Anolis sagrei: one gene and its partner. The protein of the gene in region 1 interacts with the protein of each later gene in a pairwise test. Links are inferred from orthologs where the notes say so. Each region holds a gene or a part of one and is shown on either strand. Other genes may lie near its edges.

Region 1 (8,004 bases):
TGAAAATGATTTAGGTGGTCATTGCAGATAATAATAATGCCCCTTCCTGGTGCAGTGCCAAAGACCTTGGCCTGCACTTAAAAACAATCTGCGCTGACAAAATTGTCAGGAGGCCACCCTACCTGGATTTGTACACATTATTCACCAATACAATTAGGAGCCCCCGGTGGCGCAGTGGGTTAAACCCTTGTGCTGACAGGGCTAAAGACTGATAGGTCGCAGGTTCAAACCCCAGGAGAATGCGGATGAGCTCCCTCTATCAGCTCCAGCTCCTCATGCAGGGATATGAGAGAACCCTCCCAACAAGGATGATAAAACATCAAAACATCCAGGCGTCCCCTGGGCAACGTCCTTGCAGACGTCCAATTCTCTCACGTCAAAAGCAACTTACAGTTTCTCAAGTCGCTCCTGACACGGCAAAAAAACAAAACAAAACCCCAATACATTACACAGTTCTAGACACTTGGGAAGTGTCTTGACGTGTGATCAAATATAAAAGTCAGCTTAGTGATCTTATTTGCTGTGTACTAATCTTGTTGTGTATCTAACAACAACAACACTTTATTTATAATCTGCTCTATCTCCCCAAGTGGACTCAGGGTAGTTTCCACACAAAAAAGTGGCAAACATTCAATGCCATTAATGAAAACACACAAACCAATTCAAACCAATAATACGATAACATCACTTATAATAACTAACCAAAGTTAATAAATGAAAGCAATATAAAATAATTACTTAAAAGCATAATAAAATCTCGTTGCTCCCATTCAGAAAGGTATCATTCACTGTCTTGTGATTTTCCAAATCCTGCTGAATAAAGATTCAGCCTAAGGCTAGGCCATTTTCAGGAATGTCACAATACATATTTTTTTCTGATCCAGAAAGAAATTTTATGAGTTCCAAAACAACTAGGCTGCAATTCTAACTTGATATATTAGGAGATAAATAGAATCCAAACTGCCTTAAATGGTCAGTGTTGATCAGTGGTTCTCAACTTCTGGGTCCCCAGATGTTTTGGCCTTCAACTCCAAGAAATCCTAACAGCTGGTAAACTGCCTGGGATTTTTGGGAGTTGTAGGCCATAACACCTGGGGACCCATAGGTTGAGAACCACTAGTGTAGATGGCACTTTAGAAGTACATTTATTTTATTGTGATTCGTTTTTCAAACTTTTGGTTTATGATTATAGGTTGTACATGATGTCTTCTGCTTATAATTTTCTATATTTTTACCCCACTCTATCTCACTCCAAAGGGGACTCAGAGCGGCTTCCAGATTGGCAATAATTCAATGCCATAACAAACATAATCATACAAATACAATATACACCATACATTAAAATCAGGAGAAAAGCAGAAAAAATAGTAAACATATCAGTACATTAACACAACACAAGATTCAAAGTCATAATTCATAATGTGACTTAAAAGAGTCCACAGTATTGTGACTTAAAAGAGTCCATTGTGAGCCGCCATGAGACCTTGGGGAGAGAGGATGGGATATAAATAAAGTTTATTGTAAGTGTGACCTCAACTGACTTACATTGTAGAGCGGATGTGGGCAAACTCGGGCCCTCCAGGTGTTTTGGACTTCAACTCCCACCATTCCTAACAGCCTCAGGCCCTTTCCTGCTTAAGCGGCTGAGGGGGAAAAGGAAGGGGCCTGAGGCTGTTAGGAATGGTGGGAGTTGGAGTCCAAAACACCTGGAGGGCCCAAGTTGGCTCCCTACCTACTTTAGAGTTTGACAAAACTTCAACTGCCAGGGCTCAATGCTATAGAATTGTAGCAGCTGCAGAGGCACCAACCCCTCTTTGGCTGGAAATCCCTTTATAGAACTACAACTCCCTGGATACCATAACATTGAGCCAGAGCAGATGAAGCTAGTTTAATTTTATTGTAAACGCGCCTTCTAACTGTTTTGATATTTGCTGATGCACTGTTTTTAATATGATTTATGTTTAAAGTGTGGTTTTTTATTATTAGTCTCTCCAGGGCTAAATCCCTGGAGAAACTACAATGCCAAATAATAATAATAATAATAATTGGCATTGTAGTTTCTCCAGGGAATAAGAATTATTATTATTATTCTTTGGGCATTGTAGTTTCTCCAGGGAATAATAATAATAATGGTGTATATTGTATTTGTATGATTATTCTTCTTCTTCTTTGGGCGTTGTAGTTTCTCCAGGGAATAATAATAATAATTATTATTATTATATAATAATAAATATATACCATTATTATTATTATTATTATTCCCTGGAGAAACTACAACGCCCAAAGAATAATAATAATAATAATCATACAAATACAATATATACCATTATTATTATTATTATTCCCTGGAGAAACTACAACGCCCAAAGAATAATAATAATAATAATAATAATAATAAAACTACAGCGCCCAAAGAATAATAATAATAATCATACAAATACAATATATACCATTATTATTATTATTATTCCCTGGAGAAACTACAACGCCCAAAGAATAATAATAATAATAATAATAATAATAATAATGGTATATATTGTATTTGTATGATTATTATTATTATTCTTTGGGCGCTGTAGTTTCTCCAGGGACATAGCCGGGGGGGGGGGGGAGAGTGCGACAAATCCCTGGATTCCACAGCAATAGTGACGCAAACTGGATTAAATCGACAGTGTAGACGACCCCTTATTTCCCTCTGCTTTGATAGTGACCAAGAAAGGCCTAACGTTCAGCCTGGGAGGCCCCCTAAAGGGAGCTTTCGCGTGGCGTCCTTTGCTAGGCCTCATCCACTCACCCGCCGCGGTCTCGGTCGCGGCCTCGGTCCCCGAAGCCTCGCATCCTCGAAGGCCGAGAGTCAGTCGCCGGCGCGGGGGTTGAGAAAAGGACAACAGGCCGGCCTCGAAGGAACCAACAAGCAGCTTCTGTCTAAATCCTTTCAGAAGCAGCCTTCGGAGCTTTATTTCCTTGACTCGAGAGGCGCTTGGGGTCAAATTCCGGGCCGACTCGAGCCAGGCGCCGCTGAGGAGAACCTCCCCTGTCTTTCTTCTCCGGCCTGCTGACACAAAATGGCCGCCGCCGCCCGAGCTCGCCTCACTTTACGTTATCAGCCCAGCCCACTCTTGCGTAAAGCGCGTCTCTGAATAGCCAATTGTGCGCTAATTGCGCATTCAACGGCACTTTCGCCAAGTTGCCCCTAAGATACGCTGACAAAGTCCAGGCTAACGCCACCTTTCTGCCTATTCTCGAATCATCGAACCCCGGAAGAAACACAACCGCCTCCGCAATCTGCGTAAGCTCCCTGTGCCGGTTTTAGCGTAAAGAAACTAGTTTCCGGCGTAGGAACTGCTGGGAAGGAGCACAACTCCGCACTCTCTGTAGCGTATTTTTGTTTAAAGAATACTAACTTCCAACTGGACAGGCAAGAGGCGGGACCGGCTTTGTGGAACAATGAACTGTTCTCTTAGACTTAGGCCACAAAGGAAGATATGGAGACTTCACCCCCAGCTTTCTCTGTTTGGCCCTTCAAAAATACAGAAAGTCTGTACATTTAAGTTCACTTCTGTCTAGCTATTAATGTGCTTTGATACATCAATCAGTGAAACAATCCCAGAAAAAGCAGCCGAGTTATATATTTGTGTCTGTAGCCAGGATGACTGGTTTCTCCTTGTTTCTAAGGAACTCAGACTTGGTTTTTGTATAGTTCATCCGCAGCTGAAGTAAAGTTTTTTTTTATTTCTACGACTGATTCTTTAATAATGCTAATAACAATGGCAATAAAATGCTTTTTTCACAATCAATTTCTGAAATTAAAAAAACCTACTTGTGTATATTGGATTGCTGTGAGTTTTCCGGGCTGTATGGCAATTTTCTGGAAGCATTCTCTCCTGACATTTTGCCCTCATCTTTGGAGGCTTTTAAACAGGCTGGATGGCCATCAGTTGGGGGGTGCTTTGAATGCAATATTCCTGCTTCTTGGCAGGGGGTTGGACTGGATGGCCCATGAGGTCTCTTCCAACTGTATGATTCTATTATTCTAGGTATCCTCAGAGATTGTGAGGTACACATCCTCAAAACAATATACAGCTCTGGTCCAGCGTACCTGTCCGAAAGTATCTCCTACATCCCACCTTGGAGTTTAAGATCTTCTGGGCAGGCTCTGCTCTCGGCCCCGCCTCTGTCTCAAACACGTTTGGTGGAGATGAGGGACAGGGCCTTCTCGGTGGTGGCCCCCCGCCTGTGGAATTCACTCCCCGGGGAAATTAGGTCATCATCATCCCTCCTCACCTTTAGAAAGAAGATAAAAACGTGGATGTGGGACCAAGCCTTCGGGTAATTAAGCAGAAATGACAATTGACAATGTTGACAATGGCTTGGAAATGGATTATGGATAAGTTAAACAGAGTACTCAATCATAGTATACAGCTAGTTAAATGACCACCAGACTGGTAATAACTCAGTGGACTCTAAGTATATTGTTTTAATGTTTTATGTTTTTATGCTTTTAACTATTATAATTATTGGTGTTTTGTATTTTATTATGCGGCATCGAATTGTTGCCAGTTGGAAGCTGCCCTGAGTTGAGGTTGAGAAGGGCAGGGTAAAAACATTCAAAATAATTAAAATAAATAAATAGTGCCTGCCATAGATGTGGGCGAAACATCAAGAGAAAATGCTTCTGGAACAGGGCTGTACTGCCCAGAAAATTCATAGCAAACCAGTGATTCCGGCCATCAAAGCCTTTGACAACATACTCCCATATATATTTGCATTTTCTTTGTGGCTTTTTCTTTTCTTCTTCCTTTTGCCTCATATGCCTTGTCCATCTCCCTTTCCTTCTTCTCTTGCTTTTTCTCATACATCTTCGCTTTTATTTGCTTGCTCTTCCTTTTTTCCCCCTCATGCTTCTTTCTTCTCTTCCTTTCTTTACTATCCTCCCCTCCCCTCTTCCTTTTTTCCTTTCTCTTCACTTTTTTCTTTCTTCCCGCCCTTCTTTCATTCCTTTCTTCCTTCCTTCCTTTCTCATACTTTCCTCTCCTCTCTTATACCTTTTTTCTATTCTGTTATCCTTCCCCCACTACATGTTGAAAATAGCAATCTCCTACCAGTTTCCTACACTAGATATTTGTTTTTGTATATAATTGAGATTGCTGGCTATATTGTATGTATATATTGGTATGCAGTTTTGCCCTTAACTCTATGTTGTTAGAGGTTGTGGGAGGGACTAGAGATCACGTGACCCTGTTCTTAGAGTGTTCAGAGTGGGACTCCATTTCAGAATGCGTTTGAATCAGAAGTCTGTTGGAGTCAGTTAAGTCAGTTAGAATTATTATTATTCTTTGAAACATTTGTATTCTACCCTTCTCACCCTGAAGGGGACTCAACAGCAAATATTCCATGCCGGGACATAAAATAACTATAAATATACACAAACATTAAAATCATTCATATCTACTTTTAAATCAGCTGTTCAAAACCGTCTCGAGACACCATGCTGGCCCTGGTCAGTGAAGTTCCCTATTGTTGCATCATTGCACTGCCCCAAAGGCTTGGTCCTACAACCAGGTCTTTAGCATCTTTCTGAAGGACAGAAGAGAGGGGGCTGATCTAATCTCATCAGGAAGGGAATTCCATAGCCGGGTGGCAATAACTGAGAAGGCCTTCTCTCTCATCCCCGCCAAACACGCCTGTGACAGAGGCAGGACCAAGAGCGGGGCCTCCCCAGAAGATCTTAGTCTTCATGTTGGTTCATAAAGGGAGATGCATTCAGACTGGTAAACTGGACCAGGGTGTTTAGGGCTTTGTAGGCCAAAGCCAGCACTTTGAATTGTGCCCGGTAGCAAACAGGCAGCCAGTGGAGCTGACGTAACATGGGAGTTGTGTGCCAAGTTATTAACCTGGCTGCCTCTTGTTGGACTATTTGAAGCTTCCAAATAGTCTTCAAAGGCAACCCCATGTAGAGTGCATTGCAGTAGTCTATCCTGGATGTAAAGAGAGCGTGGACCACCATAGCCAAGTCTGACTTTCCAAGGTATGGGTGCAACTGCCACACAAGTTTTAATTGTACGAAAGCCCCCCTAGTCACCGTCGAAACCTGAAGCTCCAGGCTCAGCAATGAGTCCAGGAGAACTCCCAAGCTGCGAACCTGCGCCTTCAGAGGGAATGTAACCCCATCCTTGCAAATGACCAGGAGGACCTCTGTCTTGTCTGGATTCAACTTCAAATTTTTCGCCCTCATCCAGACTGTCACAGCAGCTAGGCATTGGTTCACGACCTGGGCAGCCTCCTTAGCATCTGGTGGAAAGGAGTGCAGTTGGACATCATCTGCGTACAGATGGCATTGAACTCCAAAACTCCAGATGATCTCACCTAGCACATTCATGTAGATGTTAAACAACATGAGGGACAAGACTGAACCCTGTGGAACACCACAGTTGAGAAGTCAGAAGTCAGTTGAGGCTTGAGTGTTGTGGTGAGGGGATTGGGGTTTCAGAGCCTGAGGGAGTGGTGAATGAGTTTGAAAGTGGAACTGTTTTGGAGTCCAGCAGACAGGGAGAAGACCTTTCACCCACAAGGAGCATAGCAACTCCTGATAAAGACCTAGCAGACCAAGATAGCTCATCCAAGAGAACAGTTGAGTTAGACAGGGATATCAGGCTGGAACTTAAGGGAAAAAAACATCAGGTGCGGGAAATCCAAAAGAATAATTGAGAAAGATGCACAGGCAAAGTTTCACAAGCCAGAACCTCAAGGTCAAAAATGCCTTCATGTTTTGCAGCTCTTAAATTAGATAGTGTCTCATTGAGAGTTCAGATCAGGCAACGCTGCTTAATAGTAAGGATGTCAAGTCATGTTTCCAGTTCAGGTTCCTGGGTGTTTTGATTCATGTTTTAAGTTCTTATAGCCATGGTTTTTCTGGATTCATGTTTATATTATGATTCTTGTTTTCCTGTACCATTTGGATTATTGCCTTTGAAGTGTTTTACTCCTCACCAGCTTGGTTGGGTTTTTATATATTGACTACCTTTTCTGATTATCTGTTGGATTTTGCCTTTCTTACTCCTTTGGGGGATTTTCCCCTTTTTATATGTGCTCTCATCCGACTGGTATTTTACTACTGCTTTTGGATTTCTGGTTTGTGCTAATGGCAAGGTGAACTCTATCTGGGGTACAACGTCGAGTCAGTTGGGAGTTAGAAGTTAGTTGAGACAGTAAATGTCAGTTAGAGCAGGAGTGTAGATAGTATGCTGAAGTGAGGTGTCAATTAATATATGAGTCTGTTTGCAGCAGATGTACAGTATAGTACAGTTTTAAATATAATTCAGTTAACATGAAACCAATAAGCAATGTACCTGTATGCTAAATACATGAAGTTTGTAAGTAAATAAAATATGTTAACTTTTAACAAAGACTACTTTATTTTTTGGTCTCTTGAAAGTATGATTTAAAAGCAATATATTTTATGGGAAAGTAGATATATTTTTGGGCTATTGAAAATAACACTTCCGATGAGCTGCTATATTGATGCATTGGCATATCTTTGTTCCTAACAGTTCAGAGAGAGAACCAGGTATATCAGCCTAACAGCTAGGAAGCCTAAATTGCCTTGCATAAATACTAGTGTATATTTACTACTAGGGAGAAGACTGATTCAAGCATATTTTTAACTCTTCTCAGGAAGATCATACTTTACAAAAAGGTTATAATCTCTAACAAGGTCATGCCTTTCCAAACAGTGTGAAAACCAATTAATTTCCGAAAGGGTCATGCTTCCAAAAGCCTGTGGAGATTCCTAGTTTTCCCGGTACTTTCTTCCTTCTCTCCTTTTCTTCCTCCCTTCCCCTCATACACATGTCACCTAGCAACAGCTTTGTTCCTTTTCTTTCCCTCTGGGCTCAAAAGGAGTAGGTTTTTTAATAGTTCAAACCCTTCAATTATTTTAAGTTGGCTAATGAAGGGTATGTGTGCCATGTTTGGTTCATCAAGCCGTGGAGAAACCTTTTTTAT
Region 2 (8,586 bases), on another chromosome or scaffold:
GGGCTGGCTAAGGCTTATCGCATAGCACCTGGCAGACACTGGAACAGGGGAGGCTGTATGAAGCAGCAGGACAGAGCACAGAAAGCGTTACGGCTTTAAGATGCACCACGGACAATGATCATGACCAAATAGTCATCCTCTGACTTAGCCAGGGCCTTGGCTGTAGTATCCAGGAACTGCTGAGAAAAATCACAAGGTGGGAAAGCATGCAAGACCCCGCTGTTTTCTTTGTCTTTGTTGCCTCCTACTGGGAGGCTTATCACTCCAGCTGCCTGTTTTTGTTTGAGATAGGACACCAGGTTTCTGAGTGGTCGCTGTGTGGAGGTGGTGTTAGCATCACCAGCCCCAGATGAGGCACGGTTGTCTGTGGTTCCAGGCACAGCCAGAAGAATAGCATATCCATTAGGCCCTGCCACTTTGATGCGACGAGTAACTTCATCCAATTTAGGCTGGTCCAGACGGAGTCGCTGGGTGATTTTTAGCTGGGCCACTTTGCCACCAGTTGCTCCTTCTACCAGGAGACTGCTGGCCACACTCAGATCTCCTTGAAGTAGGTGCATGTTAGACGGGAAGTTGCTGTTCTTCAACAAAAGCATTCCTTGCCAAGCCAGGCAGAGTTTGGGGGATGACCCAGACTTTGAGCCTCCATCCTGCTGTTGCTGCTTTTGAGGGGGAGGTTTCAAGCGTGATCCTCCGCCACTGCTCCCTTCAGAGACATGTTCATCTTTTTTAGCTGGGCTCTTGCACTCTTGAGCCGCAGCTACTGCGAGGGTGCGATGTTTTCGTTCCCTTTCTACCGAACTCTTGTGCTCACGCTTCTCATTTTGGCCTCTCTCCAAGCTACCCCTACGTGACTCTCTGATGGGTGAATGGCGATCCAGCAGGAGCAAACGGGAAGATGACCGTTCTGCATCACTCCCATAGCGGTCTCTGCCTATGCCAGGCTCAGGACTACGATCTTGTGGAGAAGCTGCAGTAGGGCAATGCCGTTTGCGGGAAGAAGATGACCGTTCGCTATCAGGCGAACGGTCCAAATGCCGTCCCCCATCCTCCACCAGTCTTCGCTTCCTGGGTGGGTCCCTGCTGCCACCGCCTAACTCCCTTTCCCCGCGAGTTCTCTCTAGAGACCAACCGTCTCGCCTGCGTTCCAGGCTCTCAAGTGCATCATAGACAGTTGCTCTGTTGCCCCGGTCTCGAACTGGAGGTGGGGGAGGAACCCACTCTGTTTCAGGATATAAATCTCTGTCACGGTCATACAGCAGTGGTGGGGTCCTATCCCGTGCACCTCGGAGTGGATCAGGTGGTGCACCACGATGCGCCCCAAAGGCAGATGTCTCTGCTACCAACTCATAATGGCCAGGGGGCGGAAGCGGCAAGGGCTGCAAATAGGGCTGCTGATAGTGATGCTCTGTGTCAGCAAAGTCCACCCTCAAACGGCGGTCCGGTCCACCCAAGGGGAAGCCACGCATGTGAGTACAAGCAGCCTGGGCAGCATCCAAACTCTCATACTGGATGTAGGCCCAGGAATCCCCTTTCCGATAGTCAATGGTGCGGATAGTACCAAAACGGTCAAATTCCCTGGCAAGGGCGGCTAGCGGCACCCAAGGCCCCAGCCCACCGACCCAGAGCCGCGTGGTGGGGGTGGCCTTGCCATAGCCAATTTTGATAGGATTACACAGCAGCACTTTGCCTGACATGGCGAGCTTAGCCCGATGGGCCATATCCAAATTTTCAAACTTGAGAAAGCCATAAGTACTCGTCTGTCCTCGGGACGGCCGCTTGATATCCACCTCCGTGATCACCCCAAAGCGATCAAAAGCCCTCTGGAGGTCCGACTCGGTCACCGAGATGTCCAGGTTGCCCAGGAAGAGTGTGCGGTTGGCCCGCTGGTCGTCTTCGGGGCTGATCTCCTCCTCGCTGGCCGTCCCTGTGCCGCCCACTCCGCGGAAGGCAGCCGCCGCAGCCACTCCAGCCACACGCTCCAGGCTGTAGGCGGGTCGGACCCGGTCGTAGAAGCCCCCATAGTCCCGCTCCCTCTCCAGCTCACGGGGCAGTGGCGGGGGAGGCAGGCGGCCCAGGGCCAGCTGCTGCAGCCGGAAGTCCCTGTAGCCCAGGCCGGCCCCTCCGCCGGCGGGAGAGAGGGCCCTCTGAGCGGCAGCCGGAGGGTGCCTGAGGGCGGCGGGAGCGGCGCCCGCTACGCCCACGCCCGCGGCTCCGTAAGGGGAGTCCTTATCTAGGATGGCTGGGGAGCGGCTGCTCCTTCGCCGCCCGCTTGCCCCGCTGCCCACATAGACGGCCTCAATCTTCAGGGGCCTGTCATAGAGGACCAGGCGGCCTCGGGCGTGCTTGGCGGCGCGGGCGTCCTCCGGGCGGCGGAAGTTGACGAAGGCCACCCTCTCGTCGGCAGCGCCTGTCCCGGGCGGGAGGCGGCTGATCTTGACACTCACATCCCCGAAGCGCTTGAACTCGTGGAAGAGCCCGTCCTCGATGGCCTCGTCGCTCAGCGCGTTGCCCAGCTCACTGATCTTGAGCGTCTTGTACTCACTGCCGCCGCCGGAGTCTGAAGGGGGCGCCCGGGAATCCCCTCCTCCTCCTCCGCCTCCTCCTCCGCCTCGGCTGCTGCTGCCCCGCGAGGACGACGACGACTCCGCGTTCTTGCTGCTGCTGTTGCTGTAGCCATGTCGGCCGCCGCCGCTCCCCGTCACCGCCTCGTACTCGCGGCTGCTGGCCCGGCTGGCCTTCTCCAAGTGGAGGCCCCGGCGGCTGCTGCTGCTGCTGCTCCCGCCCTCTCCAGAGCCACCGCCCGCCGACTTCCCGCCGCCGTTGCTCGGCTTCTTACTGCTCCGCTCGCCTCGCACGGAGGAGGAGGAGTCGTCGCCGCCACCGCCGCCGCTGCTGCTCCCTCCGCCCCGGGAGCGCTTGGCCTTGGCCGGGGAACGCTCCTTGCCCTTCATGGCGGCGGGCGCCAGCGAGAGGGAAGCGCGCGCCCAGTACCGCGCCTCACGCAGCCCCCGCCGCCATCTTGGAATCTCCTGCAGGCTCGGAACCCCGCCCATGCGGGCGCCATTGGGCCCTCTCCGCTCGCCTCGGCATCCTCATTGCACGAAGCGCCTGTCAATCTAAAGCGAGGCGGTGGTGGTGGTGGGGGGAGGAAGCACCAGGCGGTGCGATGCTCCGGAAGCGGAAAGCCCGCCTTTTCCTGTATCGGCCTTCCTTTTGTCGCTCGGAAAAGTTGGGTTGAGAGGAACGCTAACTCCGCCATCCCATAGACCCATTGCCTGGGTAACTAAATCCGTTTCTCCATTTGGGTTGGACAAGAGTGCTGTCAATCTTTCCTTATTTCTCTCACAGCCGTATCCGTAGCGTTCATTGGCTATTGGGTTTTGGTTTTTTAAAATTCCAGGGAGGGGTGGGAGGCTGAGGAGCTCGCGCAAGCAGCTTTAATTTGATTGGATGGTGGCCATGCCTATCGCAACCGTCCCAACGGGTGACTGGGATTGGGGTGCCGTGAGCTGATTGGACGGTGAGGTAATCTGGCGGAGGCTGAGGCGAGGCCTGCTTCCTTGGCCTTCTCCGGGGCACGAGAGGAGCGCGGCCTCGATTGACGTCACGCTGCTCTTCCAGGGGAGTTGAGGAAAGGGCCTTGGCGCGGGCGGACTGGGCGGCTGGCGGGAAGGGCCACAGCAGGCATTTGCAAAGCTGGGCCCTCCAAGTGTTTTGGACTTCAACTCCCAGAATTCCTGACAGCCTCAGGCCCCTTCCTTTTCCCCCTTCCGCTTAAGCGGCTGAGGGGGAAAAGGAAAGGACCTGAGGCTGTCAGGAATTCTGGGAGTTGAAGTCCAAAACACCTGGAGGGCCCAGCTTTGCCCATGCCTATGTTCCAGCCTCAGCCACACACCAGCATGAATCTATGAACCATATAAGGGTTCCTGAAGCCAAACCTTGGTTGCTCTCATTTTATAGCTGAGACACCATTTTACTACACCATTACACGAAATGGAGCTTGCCCACCCACAGATTTTGTTACCCCCGAGGGTCCTCGGCCCACGTCCCAGCAGACGCCAATGGGTTCACTGTTCTGGGAACAAGATTGGGCCTCGTGGCACCCAACAGCACCATTGTTAATACAGGAACTCAACTTTCCAATGACACTATTGCATCAACCGCTTCCAAGCTGGTCCCAGGAGGCCTCTGGAAAAAATTCACCACTATGCAACAGCATTTTTGTTCCTCTGTTATCAATGTTGTTTCCTAATTGGTCCTATCATAAAAACATGGTAAAGGTTTATTAACCTGCAAAAACTTTGTTTTTGTGGGACTTCGTGCAGCACATGTTGCAACAGTTTTTCAATTAATACCCCATAGGGCCCTTCCACAAAGCTCTATATTCCAGAATATCAAAGCAGAAAATCCCACAATATCTGCTTTGAACTGGCTTATCTCAGAGCTCTTCCACACAGCCCTATATCCCAGAATATCAAGGCAGAAAAGCCCACAATATCTGCGTTGCACTGGCTTGTCTGAAGGCTCTTCCACACAGCCCTATATCCCAGAATATCAAGGCAGAAAATCCCACAATATCTGCTTTGAACTGGCTTATCTGAGGGCCCTTCCACACAACCCTATATCCCAGAATATCAAGGCAGAAAAGCCCTCAGTATCTGCCTTGATCGGGTTATCTGAGTCCACACTCACATAATGTGGGATTTTCTGCCTTGATATTCTGGGATATAGGGCTGTGTGGAAGGGTCCATAGAGACTCAACAAATTCAACATAGTTTGTGGCAGCCACAGAAATGGAGTTTCTGGAGTATAACAACTACTTTCAAAGGAAGCACCACACAATTATACAGGAAACAACACTTTCAAAACAGTAATGATTCTCCCCTTATCTTATTATTGCATAGTGAGACTTGGATCTCGACATTATCATACACACAAATCTTTATTATGGTCATAGGCCAGCATGAGGAGAGGGTTACAGTCTCATAAAAGCATTGTACATCAAAATCTAAAAGTCTAGAAAACAGGTATGTTGAAGGCTGCAGCACAAAATTATCTAGAATAATAATAATAATATGATGATGATGATGATGGTGATAATAATAATAAATCTTTATATCCTGCTTTTCTCCCTCATGGGACCCAAAGCAACTTACAACATATTAAAATCATGTAAACAACAATCCAAATACACCAATGATAAGTATAAAATATTATAAAATAAAGAGTTTAAAACAACAATAATATGCATTCACATTCTTGTGGCATGTCATTATATTGCAGTTTGTTCCTGTCCATAAACATGGTGTTTCTTATTATTCCAGCTTAGTTTCCTAAACAAAAGGGGAAGGGTCTAGCATGGGATGGAGAGAGAGGAAAATTGATGGGAGGGGCCTAGGAACATTCAGGGCACAAGTCTAGGGGAGGAGGGCACTAATTTATATTTTAGTTAGCAGATGGTTAGATTGCTAACTTTTGGAGCCAGTCATTATATAGCAGATTTTAATTGCTGCTGCACAGAACTTTGCAACATTATGGGTTATAACTGAATTGGTATCTGAAAGCAGCAGGGTGGTGTAGAATTGTCTCCACAAGTATTACGAACATGTTGTGGAGGTAGGTAAATCTGTTGATTTATGAACAATTATGGGAATAATTTTGTGGACCTTAACAGCAGCCTATGCCACGGTGCAACATAGAAATATGTTGCATAAAATCTACCATATTACCTGGAACTTTGATTTCACAAAAACGATCCAGATCCTTCTAGAAAACTGCAGCGTCTTTGTGGAATTTCAAGGCAGGAAAAGTAGATGGGGGAGGCAAAAGAATGGTTCACTCCAAGGCAGCATTCTTGCACCAACCTTGTTTAACATCTTTACTAACGATCAGCCATAGCCACCACTTTCAAAGAGCTTTATATATGCTGATGACCTTGGCATAACAACACAAGCAAAAAAACTGAAACAGTCAGAAACCAACTTACTAATGCCTTGAAAGATCTCTCCAGCTATTATAATGATAAACACCTGGAGCCTAACTTTGCCAAGACACAATTGTGTGCTTTCCACCTACAGAACCACGAAGCTAGCAGGAAATTGAAAGTTACGCGGGAAGACCAAGAGGTCAAACACCGTTTCCATCCTAAATATCTTGGCATCATCTTAGATTGAACACTAACATTTAGGAAACACTACATGAACACCAAGCACAAAGCAGCCCCACACAATAACATCGTGTGGAAACTTACTGGCAGTGCATGGGGAACAGACCCAAAATTAATAAGAACATCAGTTCCGGCCTTGTCTTACTCAACTGAGTATGCCTGCCCTGCTTGCATAAGTCTGTTTATGTGAAGCAGATGAACATAGCACAGAATGAAACATGCAGAATAATCACAGGATGTCTCAAACCTACACTTGTTGATAAACTCTACAAGCTAGCTGGCATTGCCCCCCCTCCCCACTCAATGTGCAACGGGAAGTTGCTGCTAACTGTGAGAGAAATAAGGTTGAACACTTAAAGCCACCCACTGCATGGCTATCAGCCTCCTCCCAGTAGACTCAAATCAAGGAAAAGCTTCATAGGAACCACAACTCCTCTGTCACCCGCTACTAAGGAGGCTGTACAGGTCCTGAACCGGTGCTTGGCTGCTGTGACGGTCTGAATGAGAGCAAACAAATTGAAATTGAATCCAGACAAGACAGAGGTATTCCTGGTCAGCCGCAAGGCCGAACAGGGCATAGGGTTACAGCCTGTGTTGGATGTGGTTACACTCCCCCTGAAGATGCAGGTTCGCAGCTTGGGTGTGATCCTGGATTTATTGCTGAGCCTGGAACCTCAGGTTTCGGCAGTGACCAAGGGAGCATTTGCACAGTTAAAACTTGTGCGCCAGCTGCGCCCGTGCCGTGGGCAGTCTGACTTGGCCACGGTAGTCCATGCTCTGGTTACATCCTGTATAGACTACTGCAATGCTGTCTACATGGGGTTGCCTTTGAAGACGGTCCAGAAGTTTCAATGAGTCCAACAAACAGCAGCCAGATTGCTTACAGGAGCGGCGCTCAGGGAGTGTGATGGCACACCAGGAAGATCTAATGAGAAACCTAAATGTGTCTGGCTATTTCCCCAGTGACCATCGGTATGCCCTAATTACTATAATTCCCCCAAAATAAAACTCTATAGACAAGATTAAGTTAACCAAATTGAGTTTACTGAATAATTAAGGTGAATAACAACAATGAACAAAGGTGAGAATTGATTATGATAATATAACTCTGAGGTAACAAATTACTATTTTGTGAGGTAAATATAACTATGGCAAGTATATTCTGATCTATAATCTATAAAGCAAATATAACTATTAACTATAGGGGAATGTATAACTATAGACTATAGCATGTACAACTATGAACTCTGGGTTTGTATAACTATAAACTATCTGTAATCTATAAACTTTGGCATATGTGTATTATCTATGAAATATATAAAATCTATAAACTATAAGGCAAATATGTGTTATTAACTTTAAGGCAAATACTATCTATTCTATGGCAAACTATCTATGAACTCTCTATCTATAGGGCAAGTACGTGATTAGGATGGCCTGTTCAAATTGCTAGGCCAGACCAGACACTATCTGGCAACTGTCTATTAGCTATGACCAACAAAGAATGGGAAACGAAGTTCTATAACCAGCCCATTTTGGCTCTGAGTCAGAATGGGCTGCACCAACCGAACTCGGCCTCTAGGGGGAACCTAAGCTCTCCCCTAAACTTGGTAAAATGGAACAGTCCAACTGAGAAATAAACAGGCCGAGACATCACAGGGAGCATACAACTCCCTTGTTGCGCCAGCTCCACTGGCTGCTGGTTTGCCACCGGGCCCAATTCAAAGTGCTGGTTTTGGCCTATAAAGCCATAAACGGTTCTGGTCCAACTTACCTGTCCAAACGTGTCTCCCCTTATGAATCATTGAGGACTCTTAAGATTGTCTGGAGATGCCCTGCTCCCGGTCCCAAGTACGTTTGGCGGGGATGAGAGACAGGGCCTTCTCAGTGGTGGCCCCTTGGCTATGGGACATCCTCCCTAGGGAGATTAGATCTGCTCCCTCCCTCAACATTTTGGAGGCAAGTTAAAACATGGCTGTTCGAGCTAGCGTTTACAAATGCAGAGTAGCTAATATAGGAAATCAAACGATTTGACAATAGAACTGGACAATGCTTGATAATAATGAGACGCTAATGATGTTGTTTTTATTGCTTTTGTGGTGTTTTATATTGTTCAATGTTTTAATCTGCATTATGTTTTTATATGTACTGATTTGTTGGAAACCGCCTTGAGTCGCCGATTGGCTGAGAAAGGTGGTATACAAATACAGTAAATAATAAATAAATAAATGTTCCCCTAGCAAGAGCATCCGTCTGGGCAACTAAACCAGGAAATCCCAACTGAAGGGTCCCCCATAAGGGTCTGCCTCCAGGACTAACCAAGAATGGACGACTTGGAAGTCCCTGAACAGACTGAGAAGGGGTTGGGTGGATCAAAAGACAACCTGGCAAAATGGAACTACCTAAAAGAATCCACT

What was found. The genes of interacting proteins can lie anywhere in the genome.
Region 2: the proteins of DDX17 (region 1) and RBM15 interact in binary tests that used the Homo sapiens proteins (3 or more experiments, as listed by UniProt). The link is inferred for Anolis sagrei from reciprocal best matches to the Homo sapiens genes DDX17 and RBM15.

What each region holds. Positions count from the first base shown.
Region 1 is NC_090025.1:163,996,359-164,004,362, reverse strand, and holds the start of DDX17 (probable ATP-dependent RNA helicase DDX17), read right to left. Parts: upstream 3,087-8,004; 5' UTR 2,839-3,086; coding exon 2,795-2,838; intron 1-2,794. UniProt on the Homo sapiens protein: As an RNA helicase, unwinds RNA and alters RNA structures through ATP binding and hydrolysis.
Region 2 is NC_090024.1:183,682,082-183,690,667, forward strand, and holds the start of RBM15 (RNA-binding protein 15), read right to left. Parts: upstream 3,223-8,586; 5' UTR 3,057-3,222; coding exon 96-3,056; 3' UTR 1-95. UniProt on the Homo sapiens protein: RNA-binding protein that acts as a key regulator of N6-methyladenosine (m6A) methylation of RNAs, thereby regulating different processes, such as hematopoietic cell homeostasis, alternative splicing of mRNAs and X chromosome inactivation mediated by Xist RNA.